Tribolium castaneum: one gene and its partners. Each later gene encodes a partner of the first gene's protein in a complex. Links are inferred from orthologs where the notes say so. Each region holds a gene or a part of one and is shown on either strand. Other genes may lie near its edges.

Evidence for each region.
Region 2: eIF3c (region 1) and eIF3b share a complex: the UniProt entries of both Drosophila melanogaster proteins name them as parts of the eukaryotic translation initiation factor 3 (eIF-3) complex. The link is inferred for Tribolium castaneum from reciprocal best matches to the Drosophila melanogaster genes eIF3c and eIF3b.
Region 3: eIF3c (region 1) and eIF3e share a complex: the UniProt entries of both Drosophila melanogaster proteins name them as parts of the eukaryotic translation initiation factor 3 (eIF-3) complex. The link is inferred for Tribolium castaneum from reciprocal best matches to the Drosophila melanogaster genes eIF3c and eIF3e.
Region 4: eIF3c (region 1) and eIF3d1 share a complex: the UniProt entries of both Drosophila melanogaster proteins name them as parts of the eukaryotic translation initiation factor 3 (eIF-3) complex. The link is inferred for Tribolium castaneum from reciprocal best matches to the Drosophila melanogaster genes eIF3c and eIF3d1.

The regions. Positions count from the first base shown.
Region 1 is NC_087401.1:16,333,985-16,338,780, reverse strand, and holds the start of eIF3c (eukaryotic translation initiation factor 3 subunit C), read left to right. Parts: upstream 1-1,696; 5' UTR 1,697-1,828; intron 1,829-2,075; exon of another isoform or gene 2,076-2,078; 5' UTR 2,079-2,083; coding exon 2,084-2,173; intron 2,174-2,223; coding exon 2,224-2,988; intron 2,989-4,796. Other genes in the region: beag (protein Red), read left to right, coding at 607-1,346. UniProt on the Drosophila melanogaster protein: Component of the eukaryotic translation initiation factor 3 (eIF-3) complex, which is involved in protein synthesis of a specialized repertoire of mRNAs and, together with other initiation factors, stimulates binding of mRNA and methionyl-tRNAi to the 40S ribosome.
Region 2 is NC_087399.1:10,626,579-10,630,460, forward strand, and holds part of eIF3b (eukaryotic translation initiation factor 3 subunit B), read left to right. Parts: intron 1-1,890; coding exon 1,891-2,726; intron 2,727-3,882. UniProt on the Drosophila melanogaster protein: RNA-binding component of the eukaryotic translation initiation factor 3 (eIF-3) complex, which is involved in protein synthesis of a specialized repertoire of mRNAs and, together with other initiation factors, stimulates binding of mRNA and methionyl-tRNAi to the 40S ribosome.
Region 3 is NC_087394.1:22,552,194-22,556,950, forward strand, and holds the start of eIF3e (eukaryotic translation initiation factor 3 subunit E), read left to right. Parts: upstream 1-1,539; 5' UTR 1,540-1,627; coding exon 1,628-1,717; intron 1,718-1,765; coding exon 1,766-2,044; intron 2,045-4,757. UniProt on the Drosophila melanogaster protein: Component of the eukaryotic translation initiation factor 3 (eIF-3) complex, which is involved in protein synthesis of a specialized repertoire of mRNAs and, together with other initiation factors, stimulates binding of mRNA and methionyl-tRNAi to the 40S ribosome.
Region 4 is NC_087399.1:4,807,392-4,812,031, forward strand, and holds eIF3d1 (eukaryotic initiation factor 3 p66 subunit), read left to right. Parts: upstream 1-1,878; 5' UTR 1,879-1,945; coding exon 1,946-2,147; intron 2,148-2,209; coding exon 2,210-2,472; intron 2,473-2,518; coding exon 2,519-2,630; intron 2,631-2,675; coding exon 2,676-2,785; intron 2,786-2,839; coding exon 2,840-2,978; intron 2,979-3,025; coding exon 3,026-3,318; intron 3,319-3,361; coding exon 3,362-3,931; 3' UTR 3,932-3,988; downstream 3,989-4,640. Other genes in the region: Sans (ankyrin repeat and SAM domain-containing protein 4B), read left to right, coding at 27-302, 349-644, 694-1,072. UniProt on the Drosophila melanogaster protein: mRNA cap-binding component of the eukaryotic translation initiation factor 3 (eIF-3) complex, which is involved in protein synthesis of a specialized repertoire of mRNAs and, together with other initiation factors, stimulates binding of mRNA and methionyl-tRNAi to the 40S ribosome.

The DNA of each region.
Region 1 (4,796 bases):
TTTAGATTTTTTTAAAAGATTTTTGTGATTCTTTCCTAAAGAGGTCTTTAGATTTTAAATCAGCAAAATTTTCCTTTAAATTCTCCTTTCTCGCTTATAAAAATTCTTCTCTAGTTTCTTTTATAATATTTCTTATTTATTTTTTAGCATTGTTTTTGTACTTACCTTTAGATTTTTTTAAAAGATTTTTGTGATTCTTTCCTAAAGAGGTCTTTAGATTTTAAATCAGCAAAATTTTCCTTTAGATTCTCTTCTCTCGCTTATAAAAATTCTTGTCTAGTTTCTTTTAGAATTCTTCTTGTTCATTTTTTAGCATTGTTTTTTTACTGTCTTTTAGATTTTTTTAAAGATTTTTATGATTATCTCCTAAAGACTTCTTTAGATCTTAAATCCGCAATTTTTTTTATATTCTCCTCTCTCGCTTATAAAAATTCTTCTCTAGTTTCTTTTAGAATTGCTCTTATTTATTTTCTAGCATTGTTTCTGTACTTCTTTTTGGATTTTTTAAAGGTTTTTGTGATTCTTTTTTAAAAATTTTTACATGAATTTTAATGTTAAAATTCCTATTAATTTAATACCAACATGACTATTAAAATTTTATTTCAGACGATGAGGCTGAATCAGACATTCCAACAACTTTAATCCGTTCAATCGCCGACGTTCCGTCATTTGAACTCACCACAACCCTCACAACCAACGACATTGTCATAAATAAATTAACCCAAATTTTAAGTTACTTGCGCCAAGGCAACCGAAAGAACAAAAAAACCAAACGGGGACTCCCCGAAAGTCGCGAAAACGAACAACCGGAAGAACCCGAACCGAAAAAAACAACAAAACGTACAACCGGTGATGACTCCATCTATGGAGATATTGGTGATTACGTACCCACAAGAAGTGGTAAACATGGAAACTCGTCACGTGACCATAACAAACACACGTACTTTGATAAACAAGAGGAAGCGCTTGAAAATAGCGGACCGACTTTCAAAGTCAGTAAATCGGCACAAATCCTTAATAAACTGGCTCAAGAGCCTGAGGGATATGCTGAGTGTTATCCCGGATTGGAGGAAATGAACGATGCGATTGATGATTCTGATGATGAGGTTGATTATTCTAAGATGGACTTGGGGAATAAAAAGGGGCCGATTGGACGCTGGGACTTTGACACAGCTGAGGAGTATTCCGATTATATGAACCAGAAGGAGGCTTTGCCGAAAGCAGCCTTCCAGTACGGCCTTAAAATGGCAGATGGGCGCAGGTCCAGGAAGCATAAGGATAAGAACGAAAAGGCGCATTTGGACAGGGAGTGGCAAAAAATCCAAAGCATTATCAAGAAGAAATAATTTTGTTGTGTATTTAGGAGATAAATAAGTTAATTTAAATAAAAAATATATATTGGAAATTTGATTTTCTACAACTTTGTTCCTTACTTTTTTGTCTTACTATCGAGAGTTTAATGCTCTATGTGCCTGTATTTTTTCTTTGCTATCTGCTAATGGAACAAGTGCGCTCTCTGGTGACAATAAAGGAACTACCGAAAACGCGAGCGTTTCATTTGTACGTCTTTGGTATCTTAACCGTAGAATCCTTACTTTTGACACAACTTGAACCTAAATACCACCACCTAACCCTGGCTCTCGACTTAAGGGCCCTTTCGTGCCCAAAAACAAATTAATTTGCCCTTTTTTTACGATATTACCATAACACTACCAATCACAAGACAAAAAAGTCCCGATTTTGACAGTTGGCACAAGTTTTTGGCCATTTTGTGGTTACAATCGTGTCGGAAAATCTGTTAAGTGAAAAAAAGGCTTTAAACACGTAAGTTTTGCCTCTTTCACGTGTATTTTACCTTAAAATTGTGGTTCCGACATTTCTAACTATAATTTTGGGGAGTTCCGTCTCCAAACATGAACCACATGGGCCCCAGTAACTAGCTTTAAAGTAGTCTTAAATTAAGTTTTCGGTCTTCATTTGGCCCAAAGAAGCGAAAAACCGTTACCTAACGCCAATTTAACGCCTAGTTATTGCGTTATTTCACGTAATTTTTTTGAGGTTATGTCACTTTGTAGGTAAAAAAATGAGTCGTTTTTTCGCCGGTTCGGACTCAGACTCCGACAGCTCCTCCGAGGAAGAGCCAATTCAGCGCGCGCCAGCGCCCGTTTTCACCGTAAGTGAGCCCCCATGTAGCTTAACATTTTTTTAATGGCCCCCTTCTAGTTTAGCGACGATGAAGAGGAGGTCAAACGTGTGGTTCGCTCCGCCAAAGAGAAGCGTTACGAGGAACTCACTAACATTATCAAACAAATCCGCAATTACAAAAAAATCAAAGACATGAGCAGCATGTTGACCAGTTTTGAAGACCTTCAGAAGGCCTACGTTAAAGCGCTCCCAGTGATCGCGAAAGAAGAATCGGGGCAAACGCCCCGTTTCTTCACCCGTTGTTTGGTCGAAATGGAAGATTTCATCAACGAAATGTGGGAAGATCGCGACGGACGCAAAAACATGAGCAAAAACAACAGCAAGTCTTTGGCTTCAATGCGCCAGAAGTTGCGCAAGTACATCAAAGATTTCGAGGAGGATATTGCCAAGTTTAGGGAAAACCCCGACCAGCCGGACGATGAAGAAGAGGAAGAGAAACACGAGCCTGAGCCAGACACTCAAACTGAAGCGCCGGCCAAAGCTGTGGCTAAAATTTCCAAACAGATTGTTGATGATGAAGGGTCGTCTGATTCGGACGATTGGCCTAGTGATAGTGACTCGAGTTCGGATAGTTTTGATGAAGATGAAGGGAAAGGGACTATGAGGGAGCGGTTTTTGAAGAAAACTGGGCCGGCGCATGAAGATGATGAAGAACGCGATCGGAGGAAGGAGGAAAGGAGGAAGGAACGTAAGGAGAAGGAGAGGCGGAAGGTGAAGAAGGAGGATGAGGAGGATGGGGAAGGGGAGTGGGAGTTTGTGAAGGGGGGAATCGCAATTCCGAGCGTAAGTATCAGTACTTTAAATGTTTTTCTATTAAAAAAAATGAGGAATGACCTCTTTTCTTTTGTTATTCGGCTGTCTTGATTAGATAACACAGTACAATGAACTTTTTTTTTATAAAAAAGCTTAATAAGACCTTCTTCTATGACATATTAAAAATTTGGAAAGATATTATTTATGATTTTCTTGTTAGAGTCTGTCAAAAATAAACATTCTTGAAAAAATCAATAAAACAAAGTAAAAAATTCCGCTGTCTTGATTGGATAACACAGAGCAATGAACTTCTTTTTTATAAAACAGCTTCAGAAGACCTTCCTCTATAACATATTAAAAATCTGGAAAGATATTATTTTTGGTTTTCTTGTTAGAGTCTGTCGAAAATAAACATTCTTGAAAAAATCAAATAAAACACAAAGTTAAAAATCCCGCTGTCTTGATTGGATAACATAAAGCAATGAACTTCTTTTTTATAAAACAACTTCAGAAGACCTTTTTCTATAACATATTAAAAATCTGGAAAGATATTATGAACAATGAACTTCTTTTTTATAAAACTTTTTTATAAAACAGTTTCAGAAAACCTTCTTTTATAACATATTAAAAATTTGGAAAGATATTATTTTTAGTTTTCTTGTGAGAGTCTTCCAAAAATAACCATTCTTGAAAAATTCAAATAAAACACAAAGTTAAAAATCCCGCTGTCTTGATTGGATAACATAAAGCAATGAACTTCTTTTTTATAAAACAACTTCAGAAGACCTTCTTCTATAACATATTAAAAATATGGAAAGATATTATTTTTGGTTTTCTTGTGAGAGTCTTCCAAAAATAACCATTCTTGAAAAATTCAAATAAAACACCAAGTTAAAAATTCCGCTGTCTTGATTGGATAACATAGAGCAATGAACATCTTTTTTATTAAACAACTTCAGAAGACCTTTTTCTATAACATATTAAAAATCTGGAAAGATATTATTTTTGGTTTTCTTGTTAGAGTCTGCCAAAAATAACCATTCTTGAAAAATTCTAATAAAACACAAAGTTAAAAATTCCGCTGTGTTGATTGGATAACATAGAGCAGTGAACTTCTTTTTTATAAAACAGCTTCAGAAGACCTTCTTCTATAACATATAAAAAATTTGGAAAGATATTATTTTTGGTTTTCTTGTTAGAGTCTGTCAAAAATAACCATTCTTGAAAAATTCAAATAAAACACCAAGTTAAAAATTCCGCTGTCTTGATTGGATAACATCGAGCAATGAACTTCTTTTTTATAAAACAGCTTCAGAAGATCTTCCTCTATAACATATTAAATATTTGGAAAGATATTATTTTTGGTTTTCTTGTGAGAGTCTGTCAAAAATAACCATTCTTGAAAAATTCAAATAAAACTCAAAGTTAAAAATTCCGCTGTCTTGATTGGATAACATCGAGCAATGAACTTCTTTTTTGTAAAACAGCTTCAGAAGACCTTCTTCTCTAACATATTAAAAATTTGAAAAGATATTATTTTTGGTTTTCTTGTTAGAGTCTGTCAAAAATAACCATTCTTGAAAAATTCAAATAAAACACCAAGTTAAAAATTCCGCTGTCTTGATTGGATAACACAGAACAATGAACTTCTTTTTTATAAAACAGCTTCAGAAGACCTTCCTCTATAACATATTAAATATTTGGAAAGATATTATTTTTGGTTTTCTTGTGAGAGTCTGCCAAAAATAACCATTCTTGAAAAATTCAAATAAAACACCAAATTAAAAATTCCGCTGTCTTGATTGGATAACATCGAGCAATGAACTTTTTTATTATAA
Region 2 (3,882 bases), on another chromosome or scaffold:
GCCAATTTTGAGACACCTGTAGAGGAAAAGTGTTAATGAATTGTCAGTTTAGTTTTTTTTTTTGCATAAAACCTATTTTTAACTTTGAATTTATTTGTTTCTCTAGATGATAATATGAACTCACACAATTGTCGGTATTATTTATTTATTTTTTAAACATTTTTTCAATGTGACGAGTTTTTCTCGTATTCTAAAATAAACCAGCAGGATGTACACTTTGAAACTAGATCCCTCAATTAGATCCTCCTCCTCAGAAATTAGTTATTATTTTATTTTAAACATTGTTTGTAACCTTGGTTTAAGGGTTGGAAAAAAAATAAACAAAGTTCTATAAAAATGTACTATTACATAGGCAATTCATATACAATATGCTCAAAATTCCTCATGAAAATTTTGTTCACTGTTTTTTAACAAAAAAATAAATTGGTCAAAACTAGAGGTTTTTTCTGTGTAGTTTTAAACGAAACAAACTTTTTTGCTAAGGTTTTCATCAAGTCACAATGTTTTTTACGAAATTTAGGGTTGTTTTCCGGTAAAAATAGAACTGTTGAATTTTTTAACAGTCTTCAAATGGGAATCCAAATATTGGAAATGGATATTTATTAATTTTTTTTAATCTGATTTTAATTTAACACTTATGTATACCCTGGTTACGTCTGTTATATTTGACGGAAATGCTGTACTTTAGACCCTCTATGTAGAGGGTGTTAGGGAATGGCTTAGCAATATTGTGTAAGTGAATTTGTCATGATCAGACGAGTTAAAAACCCTTATATAATTTTTCCAAAAGGTGCGTACTTTCTTTAAAAAAAAAATATTAACCCACCTGTTGAGAGCCACTGGGCTTATGGTAGTTTATTAGCGGTTATTATTATATTTTTTTTTTTCATTAAATAAGGCAACATTTTCATTTGTGCGGAAGGTTCGAATCCCGGTCTTGGCAAAAAAAATATTTTTTCGTAAACTTTAGTAACAAAACACAAATTGAAATAGAAGAATAACGTAGTGAACCAACAAGTTATTTTAGCTCAGCTGTTTTGCCAATATTATTAGAATTTACGCTAAATTTTATAATTCTAGTTCAGCGGTTCTCAAATTTTGAGAACAAAAGTTCAGAACAAATTCTTTGAAAAACCATGCATTTTTGATTTACATAAATTTACATAAATCTTTAAATTTTTGCTAAGCCATTACCTAACACTCTGTATTTAAATAATAATAAATCATTGGCATAACTAACCTGATCTTTGATTAAATTTACCGTTTCTTTCAATTTTTTCAAACAAAAAGTTACAAATTTTATTTACTAAATACTTAATGGTACAGTAGCAGATACGGAATTTTGAGCACTTCTGTCACTTCGTAGTCGAAAGGTATGGAGTATTCCATACGTTTAAGTCAACGAAATGTCATAGGCGTCCAAAATTTCGCGTCCGCCACTGCACATATTATTTGTATTATGTTCGAAGGTTGGCAGAACTGCACTGAAGTTAAATGTGGTATTACGTTAAAGCTTTGGATAAAACAAAAAAAAGTATGTCAATTTTTCACTTTCAAAATTGAGACATTACCAGTTGGCTTAAAAATCCCTAAATCGATTAAAATAACAAAAAGTGCAAAATGGGGACAAATTACACAAAACAGTATAAAAAAACTCGTTTCATAAAACCTTGAAGTACTTATTCTTTAAAACTGAATTCGTGCTTCAAGACTGGTTTTATGAAACTTGTTTTCTAATATACTATTTCCACACAGATATTTTTAAGCTTATTTTTTACAAATGTGAACCGTGTACACTTTAAAACCTGACTTTTTAGTAAAAAAAATTAAATGTCTAAACTCATGAGTTTATATAATTTTTTGAAAACACTTCTTAACTAATTGTTGCAGAACTGGCCAAGAAAAGCGTTCTTTCAACCCTGAAGGCCCCTCCTCATGGCCGATTTTCCGCTGGTCTCACGACGACAAATACTTCGGACGCGTGGGCAACGACGTCCTCTCCATCTACGAAACCCCCTCGTTCGGTCTCCTTGAGAAAAAATCAATCAAAATCAGCGGCATCCGCGACTTCAGCTGGTCGCCCACCGACAACATCGTCGCCTATTGGGTGGCAGAAGACAAAGACGTTCCAGCCAGCGTAACCCTCCTTGAAATCCCCAACCGCAACGAAATCCGCAAGAAGAACCTCTTCAACGTCGCCGATTGCAAAATCCACTGGCAAAAATCTGGCGATTATCTATGCGTCAAAGTCGACCGTTACTCGAAAGTTCGCAAAGAGAAAAATGAGACGAAGTACAGCGGAATGTACTGCAACTTCGAGATCTTCCACATGAGGGAAAAACAGATCCCGGTGGATAGCGTCGAGAGTAAGGAACCCATCCAGGCGTTCGCTTGGGAACCGGTCGGATCGAAGTTTGCGGTCATACATGGAGAATCGCCGAATATTAATGTCAGTTTTTACGAAGTGAGAGTGGGACAAGCCCCAATTCTGCTTAAAAAGTTCGAGAAAAGGGCGTGTAATCACCTGTTTTGGTCGCCCGGAGGCCAGTTTATTGTTTTGGCGGGGTTGGGATCGAATGGTGGTGGATCATTGGAGTTTGTTGATACGCACGAGTTTTTGGTTATGAATACGACGGATCATTTCCAAATGTCGGATGTCGAGTGGGATCCGACGGGAAGATACGTCACGACGTCCGTTTCGTACTGGAAAACCAAAGTTGATACAGGTGGGTTTTTGGCTTTTAAGCTTGATTTAGAAATTGATACCGAACCTCTGTAATTTGAAGTATTGTTGAATTGAATGAATTATTCTTGCGGGGGTTTTCCCAGATTATCGTTTTTTTTTTTGGGGGGGGGCATAGTAGAGAGGGGCAGTATATTTTGTTTGTTTTTTTGTTTATTACTACCAACGTTTTGCCAGTTTTTATGAGGGGGGCTTCTTTAGGGCAATAAATAATTAGCAAACCATTCGTGCAGAAACAACGAGGAGGGGAACTATTTTGTTTAACAATAAATAAATAAACCAAAATAAATTGCACTGTGTCTGTTATCCTAATAAATAATTAAATCTTACTCAAATTAAACTCACAACAGACGATGAACCGTGAATCAAAAAAACTAATAACATTTTTAACCAAATTTGGTTTTCAGCTTTTGGGTCAATTAACAAAATCCGTTATTTTCGAGGTGCTTTTCTAAACGAGCTCTCAGAAAATAAAAGAAAATTTTGAAAATTACTGAATAGGTCAATTTTTATTAACAAGGGGAGACTTTTTGGTGCACTTTTAAAGCACTTTCAAATACGAACACCCTAAAAAGATTGAAAAGCATGATCTCAATTGTGATTCCTCAAATGAAGGGTATGTTTACTAGAAAATTTGCTGTCTTGTTTTTGACTTTCAATTTTTTTTATTTTACATGTACTCTGAAAGTTATAATGAATAAACAAACTTGACAAATTTTTTGTCAAGTTACGTAAAGTATCATTAGGTGAATTAGTCACATGTTTAAAATTCAAAACATTTAACAAAAATGTTTATATTAAAATAGTATAAATCATAATTTTAAAATAAAACGACCTTTATATTAAAGGAAACAAGACAAAGTGGAGGCTAATAATTATAAAATTCATAACAAATACTATTCTACTTGAACATGGATACATGACATCTATTGGATAACTAAAGGTTACGGAAAACAAAATAAAAAATAATAAAATCATATAAACTAAAGATTAGTTTGAAAGATCCTAATCATGATATTTATGTCTTAAGGAAAATTGATTAAGCAATTAATAAAGTAAAACCGCGTCTTCTATCGAAGATTATAAAATAATAGAGGTAAAAAATTAAACAGATTTAAAATTTAAACGACTGAAAAAAC
Region 3 (4,757 bases), on another chromosome or scaffold:
CCAGGCATCCTGAACTGATATAGCCAAATCGAACCCTCACTGACACAGCTTCCTTGATTAGTGAAGGGAAGTACCCTTTACACGGCTGGTCGCATTGAACAAAAAAAGTGTTTTTTGACAGCTTACTTTATTGTAGCGCCATCTATTAGTTGCTGCTGAAAAATTCACTTGGTGTCAAAGGTGACAGCCGTCATATTTTTTACAAATTTAAGTTTTCAACCTCTTTTGCACAAGATTTATACAAAATTTTGCCAACAGGAAGGCAAGACAAAGCTTAGTTTCATTTTTTTTCCACAAGTTTTAATCAAAATTTGAAATGCAAAGCATTTCGACACTAATGGGTACATTTTGTACAGTTGGTTGCAAATGCGTTCCAACACTCTTTTGATCATTTTCGTGAGCATAAAAATGTTTGTTTACCATTCGGCAAAATGTTCAAGTTTGTATGACGCTTTTTACGTTCGTTTTGTGTTTCGCAGTTCGCTCTTGGCATAGGCTCTTGGTCACTCACATGGCAACATGCGCTTTTGGTTCCTCACAGTAAAAACACGTGCCAAATGTTTGTAGAATACGTTTTCTACAACTATACAGCTAATACTAATGCGTTTTGCCTTAGAAATCTTCTGCACTGACAGCAGTGTGACAACACTTAACCTTAGAACTGTCAGAATTGTTTTACTTTATAGTGGCTCCCTCTCAGAAACAAAAATATGCCATGGAACTAAGCAATGCGGCCAGCCGTGTGAAGGGAAAGTTCCTTCATTAATCAAGGAAGCTGTGCTCACTGAAATAGGATTTACTGATGATGCGGATAGATGGCCTTAGTGTTTTACGGGAAAAAGAAATCCTATTGGCGGATTTAAAATTTCATATTACTGAAGAAAAACGTGGTACCGATGCGCGGCTGACAAGTAAAAATTTCACAAACGTCAGCAAAATTTGAGTTTATTTTTTATATCACGTTAATTTTTCAAAGTTTTATTAAGATAGTGGTTCAAGGTGTCGTGTTTGGGTTAGACTATTGCCTACTATCGGTTAGGAACAACATGATCTCCAAGAATATAACGTAGTAATGAGCTCCAGAAGGTTTTCATTGATAGGTGCGTTTTTTCCAAAAGTGAGTTTTTTGAGAGCGAACCGCAAGTGAGTCACACTGTGAGGAGATTCCCATAGACAGAAGTTGCTAACATAAGGTGCCAGTTTGGCTGATTGCAAGTATGTCTTTATCATCGATGCGGTGACGACTATTAGTTTTGTAAACTTAATGGATTTAATAAATATCTTTAATATTAAATGTGTTTAGATCGTGTCATGTTGGGTAAAATTCTTCTATTTGTGCTGTTTGTGCATCCACCTTTTCAAATACAATTAGAAAATTTTCATAATAATTGTATTTGATAAGGTTTTGACATCATTTTGACGTGAGCAAAAATTTAAAAAATACAAAGTAATCGGGATTATTTAATTCGCGCCATTTTTAGTACGTGATGATGCGGCTAGATGGCTCCAGCTAGGAATTCATTGCCAACCATTATGTTCCGCTTCTATAAAAGTGTTATTCTAGGGTGCCGCCATATGTGTCACATTTTATAAAATCTTGTTAGTTTTTGCATAAAAACGGTATAAAATGGCCCAATTTGATTTAACTTCCCGCATGGGGCAATATTTGGATCGGCACTTGGTGTTTCCATTGTTGGAATTTTTGTCGGCTAAAGAGGTACAGTTTTTGAGGTTATGTTCATTCGGTTGATTCCGAATTTCGTAGATTTACGATGAAACGGAATTGCTTAAAGCCAAATTAGATATTTTGAGCAAGACCAACATGATCGATTATGCTATTGACATCCGAAAGCAGCTGTATCCAAATGAAGAAGTTCCTGAAGATCTGAAGCAAAGGCGTCAACACGTTGTAGCTCAGTTACAGGAGCTTCAACAGGAAGTGCAACCAATTTTGAAGATTATGGCCGACGATGAGGTCATGAAGAATATGGAAAACATGAGGGATTCGAAAACTTTGATTAATTTCCTTTCAAAGGATTACAAAGTAAATACAATGTGTTCAAAAATGGTTGTTCACCCAGTCGACTATGGAAGTCAAAAACAATGTTCCGCTTCGTTCAAATCATTATTGTAGTGTTTGAATACTCTCATCTCTGTCAAATCTTAGCTTTTTACTCACTTTTTTGCATTTCTCAAGTGTGGGGTTTGCCGTCATTTGTGTTTTACATCTCGGTGAAATTTGTTGTGTACTCTTTCGTTTTTAGATTTGAAGTTTTTTTGCATTAATTTGACGGTTTTGTCGCTTTTGACGGCATTCACAATTTAAATTAAGTGGCACATTACGTTCAAATTTCATAAGTGACTTGCAATGAACAATCATTTCTGAATAGTGTGTTTGGACGAATACATTTTTGCAAAGAAAATGCACGTCAAGCTAATGAATGTTTATTTTAAAAAAAGAAGGATAAATTGAAGAAATACCTTTATTTGTAACTTATGACCTACTTAAACACTACTTTAAAACACTATATTTAACATGAAATTAAAACAAAGAAAAATAGGAATGATATTTGACAATTAATTGTTTGAACAAAAAAAAGATAGATTTTTTTGTAATTTCAATCTTTATTGGCTTCAATGACGACTCAACTTAGCGCTGGCATACTTTTAACGAATCCCTTACAAAATTCTGGCGTTTTATTGTTCCAAATATGTTCTATTTTATTTTTTAAATCTTTCAACAACTATTGAGGAAGATTTGTAGGATACCTTTTTACTTTGTGCCAAAAAGACTCAATGATATTTAAATCAGAGCTGTTTGCTAGCCACTCAATAAACTGACGTGGAAGTGTTATTGATGTTAACGAAAATATTTAATATAATGTTTTAATTTTTCTGATATGATATTAGTTAAGCAAATAATAATAATAGGTATTTATAAAATACAAAATATAAAAACTTGATTAATCGAAATTTAATTAATTCTGCAGTGTCTTTCTGGATCAACGGCGTATAATGCTATAAGCAAAAAATTCTTAAGAAAAATTTTTACGAACTTTTTGCACAAAACATTTAAGTATTTCAGGTGTTCTAAAATAACATAAGAAATAATAACTTTTGCAGCGTTTTAATATCATGTAATTTGATTGCGATTTTATGCAATTAATGAATTAGTAATTGTTAAAAAAAATAAAAAAACAATAAACTGCCAAGGAAGTTTTATTGATGTTACGAAAATATTTAATATTCAAAAAAATTATTTAATTCTACTAGTATTAGAAGTTGTTACCATTTAATTAATAAAATAAAAAAAAACTGTGGGTCGGTCTACAGACAGCGAAATTAAAATTTAATTCCGAATTAGACTAATTCGAGTTTAAGTTGTCATTTAAAATGCATTGGCAAATGTCAAGTTAATCACTAATAAAAATTTTATTGTAATTGAAATATTCTGTAAACTTCTTTGTTTAATTTAATTTCGCAGTTGGCAAGTAAGGTATAATCCTGCTTTTTCCGTAAATTTGTGCTAATGCGAGAAGGGTTAGCTGGTTTGATCTTCCGGTGATTTCCGGGGCAAATTGTTCAGTCAGTTACAGAATTTGTTATCACTTATAATGCAACAAAAATTAATGAAAACTTAAAAGCAATTAAAGAATGTTGGCATATTAATTAGTCACACAAAAATCAGTGTTTTCTATTAAATACTTAATTTTTTTCTCAAAGATTTTTTTTTATTTTTTTTTACATTTCCTTAAATAAACATGAATTACTAAAAATTATGTTAATAAAATTGAAAATATTATTCCGTGTAATTAATTAATTATTAATTTTATAATTTCAATAGTGTCTTTTAAATGAATGATATTTTAAGCAAAAAATTCTTAATAAAATTGTTGCTAACCTCAAAATTTCGATTTATTAAATTTTAATATTTTATACAATGTGTTTTTAAATGATTCTCATCCAGTTAACTTTGAAATTGGTTTACATGTAAAAAATTGTGCCGCTTTGCTCAATTGAATCCTCTGTTAATAAATGTAAAGTCTGTCAGTTGGCAAATTCATTTAATTTGTTTTAAAAACTTCGTTAAAATGTAACTAAATTATTATACCGTGCAAGAAAACACTTTTATTTTTTAAGCTTACTTTATATTTGGAGCCTTAATAAATGGAGAATGGTAATATTCGATGTCTAAATGCCTATCATTATTTATATGAAGCGGTATTTTCTGATTTTACTGTAGAAATTCACAGACGACTAGATGAGAATTATTTAAAAACACATTGTATTATTTATTAATATTTATTTTATTTTTTAATTAATTAAGGGCCAGTTTTATAATCGAATTTAAAGGAGCATTAAATTAAATGTTTAGAATGTGAAATGTCCACAAATCCATAGTAACCAGCACATTATAAACAACTTTTAGTTGAATGCTCCTTTAAATCCGATTATGAAATTGGCCCTTAAATTTTATTACAAAAATTAAATTATTTTTTGAACATTTTATTAAATACATATTTTCATTAACATCAACAATAATTAACATCACTTTATTGATTGATTATTCTTTTGATACATAAATCGATGATCGAATGCATTCGAGCAAAAAAAGATAAATTTTGGGAAAAAATCACGTTAAGTGTCAATTTTGTCTAAGATTCTGGCCCATTTTTTTGATCAGTGCAATTTCGTACGCTTTCTTGCTCCAAAATGACAAAATTTACTGCAGAAATTTTTCAAGAGTTTTAAACTGG
Region 4 (4,640 bases), on another chromosome or scaffold:
AACCAATCGTTTCACTTTCTTTTCAGGAATTCAACAAACGCCAAGTCAAAAAAGAGCAAGTTCAAGAGAAGCTGGAGAAACGTATGAACAAAGGTCACCACAGGCCGTCGATGATAGAGACGCTCAAAACCAGAATTAAAAGTGGGTCCATGTCGAACTTGTCGAATCTGGGGCCGGCCCCTCCGAGGTTCAGCACCATCGTGGGCAACGGGACCGTTTCCGGGATGCGGAATTTGGGGTCGGTGCAGAAGCGGGTGCTCGCCAGCCGAACAACGCGGCCTGGCTTCGACGACGACTTCAAGGTGCTCCCGAGAGTAAATAAGCATTTATTTGAAAAACTCGTTCCAGATTAGTGAAATTGAAGACGGCAAACGCTCAGTCAGATCACTAACGGGGTATCGGCGAGACTCTGAGGTACTTTACACGGGGACCATCGATGGCAGGAGAGGCCGTCTGGAATCGGTCTTCAACGAAGCTGAGTACATAGAGTCGTCTCCGCCGCCACCACCGTCCAGCAACGGCCTCACAAGGTCCATCTCCCAGCCTGACTTCATGCACGAATTGGAAACAAACGGCGACACTAAACTCCAACAAGAACCAGCGAGTATTTTCGTGCGCCCAGGAATTGGAAGCATAGCGTTCCGGTAACAAATAATCAATATGCGAAAGCACAAAAACACGTTTTTTATTTAGAAAGAGCATAACCAACACATTCCAAGGCTTCTACTCCAGCGAAGGCCCCAACGAGGAGAGTTCAATCGGGTCAGGGGAAAGCTACGGCCCCAGAACCAACACTCTATCAATCGAAGACGAGTTATCAGACCCCGAGTCCAGCGACGACGATAACCCGAACGCTCCCCTGGAACGCTTCTTGACCGCCTGGGGGCTAGGAGAGTACCTTCCCCGCTTCGAGGAGCAGAAAATCGACCTGGAAACGCTGATGATACTGACAGAAAACGATCTCCAAAGCCTGAACTTGCCCCTAGGGCCGTACAGGAAACTTGTGACCGCTGTCAGCGAACGCAAAGCCGCGCTGGAGAATCCGGGCGAAGTCACAGACAGCATGTTGTAAATATGGAGTCAAAATGTGTTATTTATTCATTGTCGTGGACATGATAACGGTATTGCTTGTATTTTATGGGCACTTTTTGTACAGATGTGTGCCAGGCATAATATTTACAAATTCGTATTTAAATTTATTATAAATAAATGTGTGTTATGCAAATGCGAGCTTATTAAACCCACTCCTTATCAGTGTTCTCTTTGCTGAGAGAAATCTGATGTCATCGTCAATACGCAATAATAGGGGACGTAAAATATACTACGAAAAAGTGAAGTTACGTGTAGAAGAATTTGAATTCAATACAAATTTTTGCGCTGTTGCGTTCTTTGTGATGGCAATGAGTTTTTATGCAAAATAAAGTTAGTGAGACACCAAAATAGAAAAAAATAATGCCTTATTGCCATTAGAGCTTATTTTCTTGCTGTTTTTCCAAGTTAAATATTAGTTATTAACAATGCAATAAATCAATTAGGTTGTAATGGAAAAAATTTAATTTAAAATTAATTGGAAACCCAAGAGTGAAGGATTTTTAACAGGATTCCATTATTATTTAGCATCGCCAACTTACATCAAATGTCGCTGCGGATCAGGGTGACAATTTTTTTCTGAAAAAAAGTGTAGAAAAGGTAAGTGAAACAACACGTAAACAAAAATTAGAGAATTAAATTGAAAAAAAAGTGGATGAAAATGTTTTCTCAAGCGCAGCGACATTTGATGTAAGTTGGCCATGTTATTTTGATTTCAAAAGCGCCGAATTTCAAAAACTGTCGATTGTCAGAATCTGCGCGCGCACATTTCTTTTTGCCAAGTGTTGTGCACAACTCGCGGTTTCTGCTTCAACATATTGAATTGAACACTTCCTAACTTCTGAAAGCAAGTCAAATGACTATGACTGATGGTCAATCAGCGGGTGAGGTCCCCAAATTCGTGGCCCCCGTAATCCAGGACAACCCGACTGGATGGGGGCCCTGCGAGCTGCCCGACCAGTTCAAAGATATGCCGTACCAGCCCTTCAGCAAAGGCGACCGTCTCGGCAAAATCAGCGACTGGACGGGGGCCGCCTTCCAAGACAAGAAATATGCCAGTTAGTCTGACATTGACACATGTCAAATTTGAGGTTAAGTGACTTATTTTTCGCAATTTTAGACAAGTATGCGTCCCAGTTCGGTTCTGGCAGTCAATACGCGTATTATCATGACGAAGACGAGAGCACTTTTCATTTGGTGGACACAACACGCGTCCAGAAGCCCCCCTATCAACGGGGGCGCTTCCGCGCGAACCAGCGCAACTTGCGCGGGCGTGGCGGCCGTGCTGGGGTGCAAGGCAGCGGCATGCAGTCCCTCGGGAAGGGGGTTAAAGCCAGGGACACGTATAAGAGGAGCCAGGTTAAGAAATGGGGACAAGGACGGGTAAGATCTCGCTTGAGTTTTACCGCAATATAGTTGGCGGTTTTAGCCCCAGATTAAGATCAGGGACGCTTCGGTTACGGTCAAACCGGATTGGGTCACCATTGAGGAAATGGATTTCCCTCGGTTGGGAAAATTGTCGCTCCCTAACGTCAAAGACGGTTGGTTTAATTAAGCAATGCGAATTTTTCTATTTTGGTTTTTAGGCGAGGATATTACTTGTTGTGGCGAGTTGGAGTACTATGACAAGTCGTACGATCGTGTCAACGTGAAGAATGAGAAGCCGCTGCAAAGCGTCAATCGTATCTTCCATACAGTGGGTTATTTTTAATATCATTGATGGCAAAAAATTAAAATTAATTATCCTCAGGTTACAACAACTGATGATCCGATTATCCGTAAGTTGAGTAAAACGGAGGGCAATGTGTACGCCACTGATGCGATCCTTGCGACCATCATGTGCTGCACTCGCTCGAATTATTCCTGGGACATCGTGATTGAAAAAATTGGTACTGTGCCCTTACAAGTGTAACAAATCTCAAACAAAATTTTTCAGGCGATAAACTCTTCTTTGATAAGCGTGACAATACGGAGTTTGATCTTTTAACCGTCAACGAAACGTCCGTGGAGCCCCCACAAGACGACGGCAACTCCTTAAACTCCCCTCGAAACCTGGCCTTGGAAGCCACTTTCATTAACCACAATTTCAGTCAACAGGTATTAAGAACAGGTACCGGGGAGCCCCGCTTCAAGTTCGACAACCCAAACCCTTTTATCTCCGAGGAGGAGGAAGGGGAGGTCGCCAGTGTGGCCTACAGATACCGCAAATATGACCTAGGGAGCGGAATAGTAATTTTTTCGTTTTGTTTCTGTCCACGTTTAATTTGTGTAGTTTTTGGTTGTCCGTTGCGAACACGATGCCGTGGTCCAGTCCCCGAATGGCGAGCTCCAATTCCTGTCAATCAAGGCCTTGAACGAATGGGATTCCAAATTGGCCAATGGGGTGGAGTGGCGCCAGAAACTGGACACCCAGAGAGGCGCCGTTTTGGCCAATGAGCTGCGTAATAACGCCTGCAAGCTGGCCAAATGGACCGTTCAGGCGTTGCTGGCTGGCAGCGACCAAATTAAATTCGGTTATGTTTCCCGGGCCCATGTCAGGGATAACAGCAAGCATGTTATTCTGGGTACACAGCAGTATAAGCCGCACGAGTTTGCCACTCAGATTAATCTGAATATGGATAATGCGTGGGGGATTCTGCGGTGTATTATTGACATTGTTATGAAACAGAAGGATGGGAAGTATTTGATTATGAAAGATCCGAATAAGCCGATGATCCGGTTGTACGATATTCCGGATAATACGTTCGAATCGGACGGGGAGTCGGAGTCGGAGGATGAGGTGCCCCCTGATTCCGTGACTTTCCAGACCCTTTATCCATACACCAACAGTGCGAAACGCTAGATTTTGTATTTTTATCATGTATTAGCGAAAGGCCGAAATAAAATGATCAATAAATAATAATTTGCAGTTAATTCTCGTGCATAGTATTAACCAACAAGTGAAAAAAAAATAAAACGGACTCTTGTCGTGTAGCAGCAGCAAGGTGCATTTGCTCACGCATTTTTTAATTTTTTTCAACAAAGAAAGTAAAGCTGTCGTATTCACAACAAAAGAAAAATAAAGGTAAGTGCATTATTCTATTTTGTTGCGGATTTACTTTATTAGGTTTAGAATTTACTTATTCAAGATTATCAGCACATTTTTATGACGTAAGATGTCATATTATCGTATGATTCATTCTTTTTTTGTTAATACGTTCCAACATTCAATAACTAAATCAAATTAACAGTTTTATTTTTACTCGAACCCACACAATTTGAGATGTTGAAAAGTTATAATCGTTTGAGTGCAACATTTTACAACAGATTAACTACTTTATAAAATTTTCAAACTAATTTGATGACATTTGAGTTTATGATGTCGTAAAGTGTATTTTTTCAATTGCTCATCTCCAAGTGGGATTGAATATGTGATACAATTAACATATTGTAAGTGAAATGTGGAATGGTAGGTATAATAATGACATAATATTAACTTGGTTTTTATTTATTTGCAATACCTTATTGCTACATATTGTAGCGGAAGTAGATGCCATGAAGATAAGTGCACT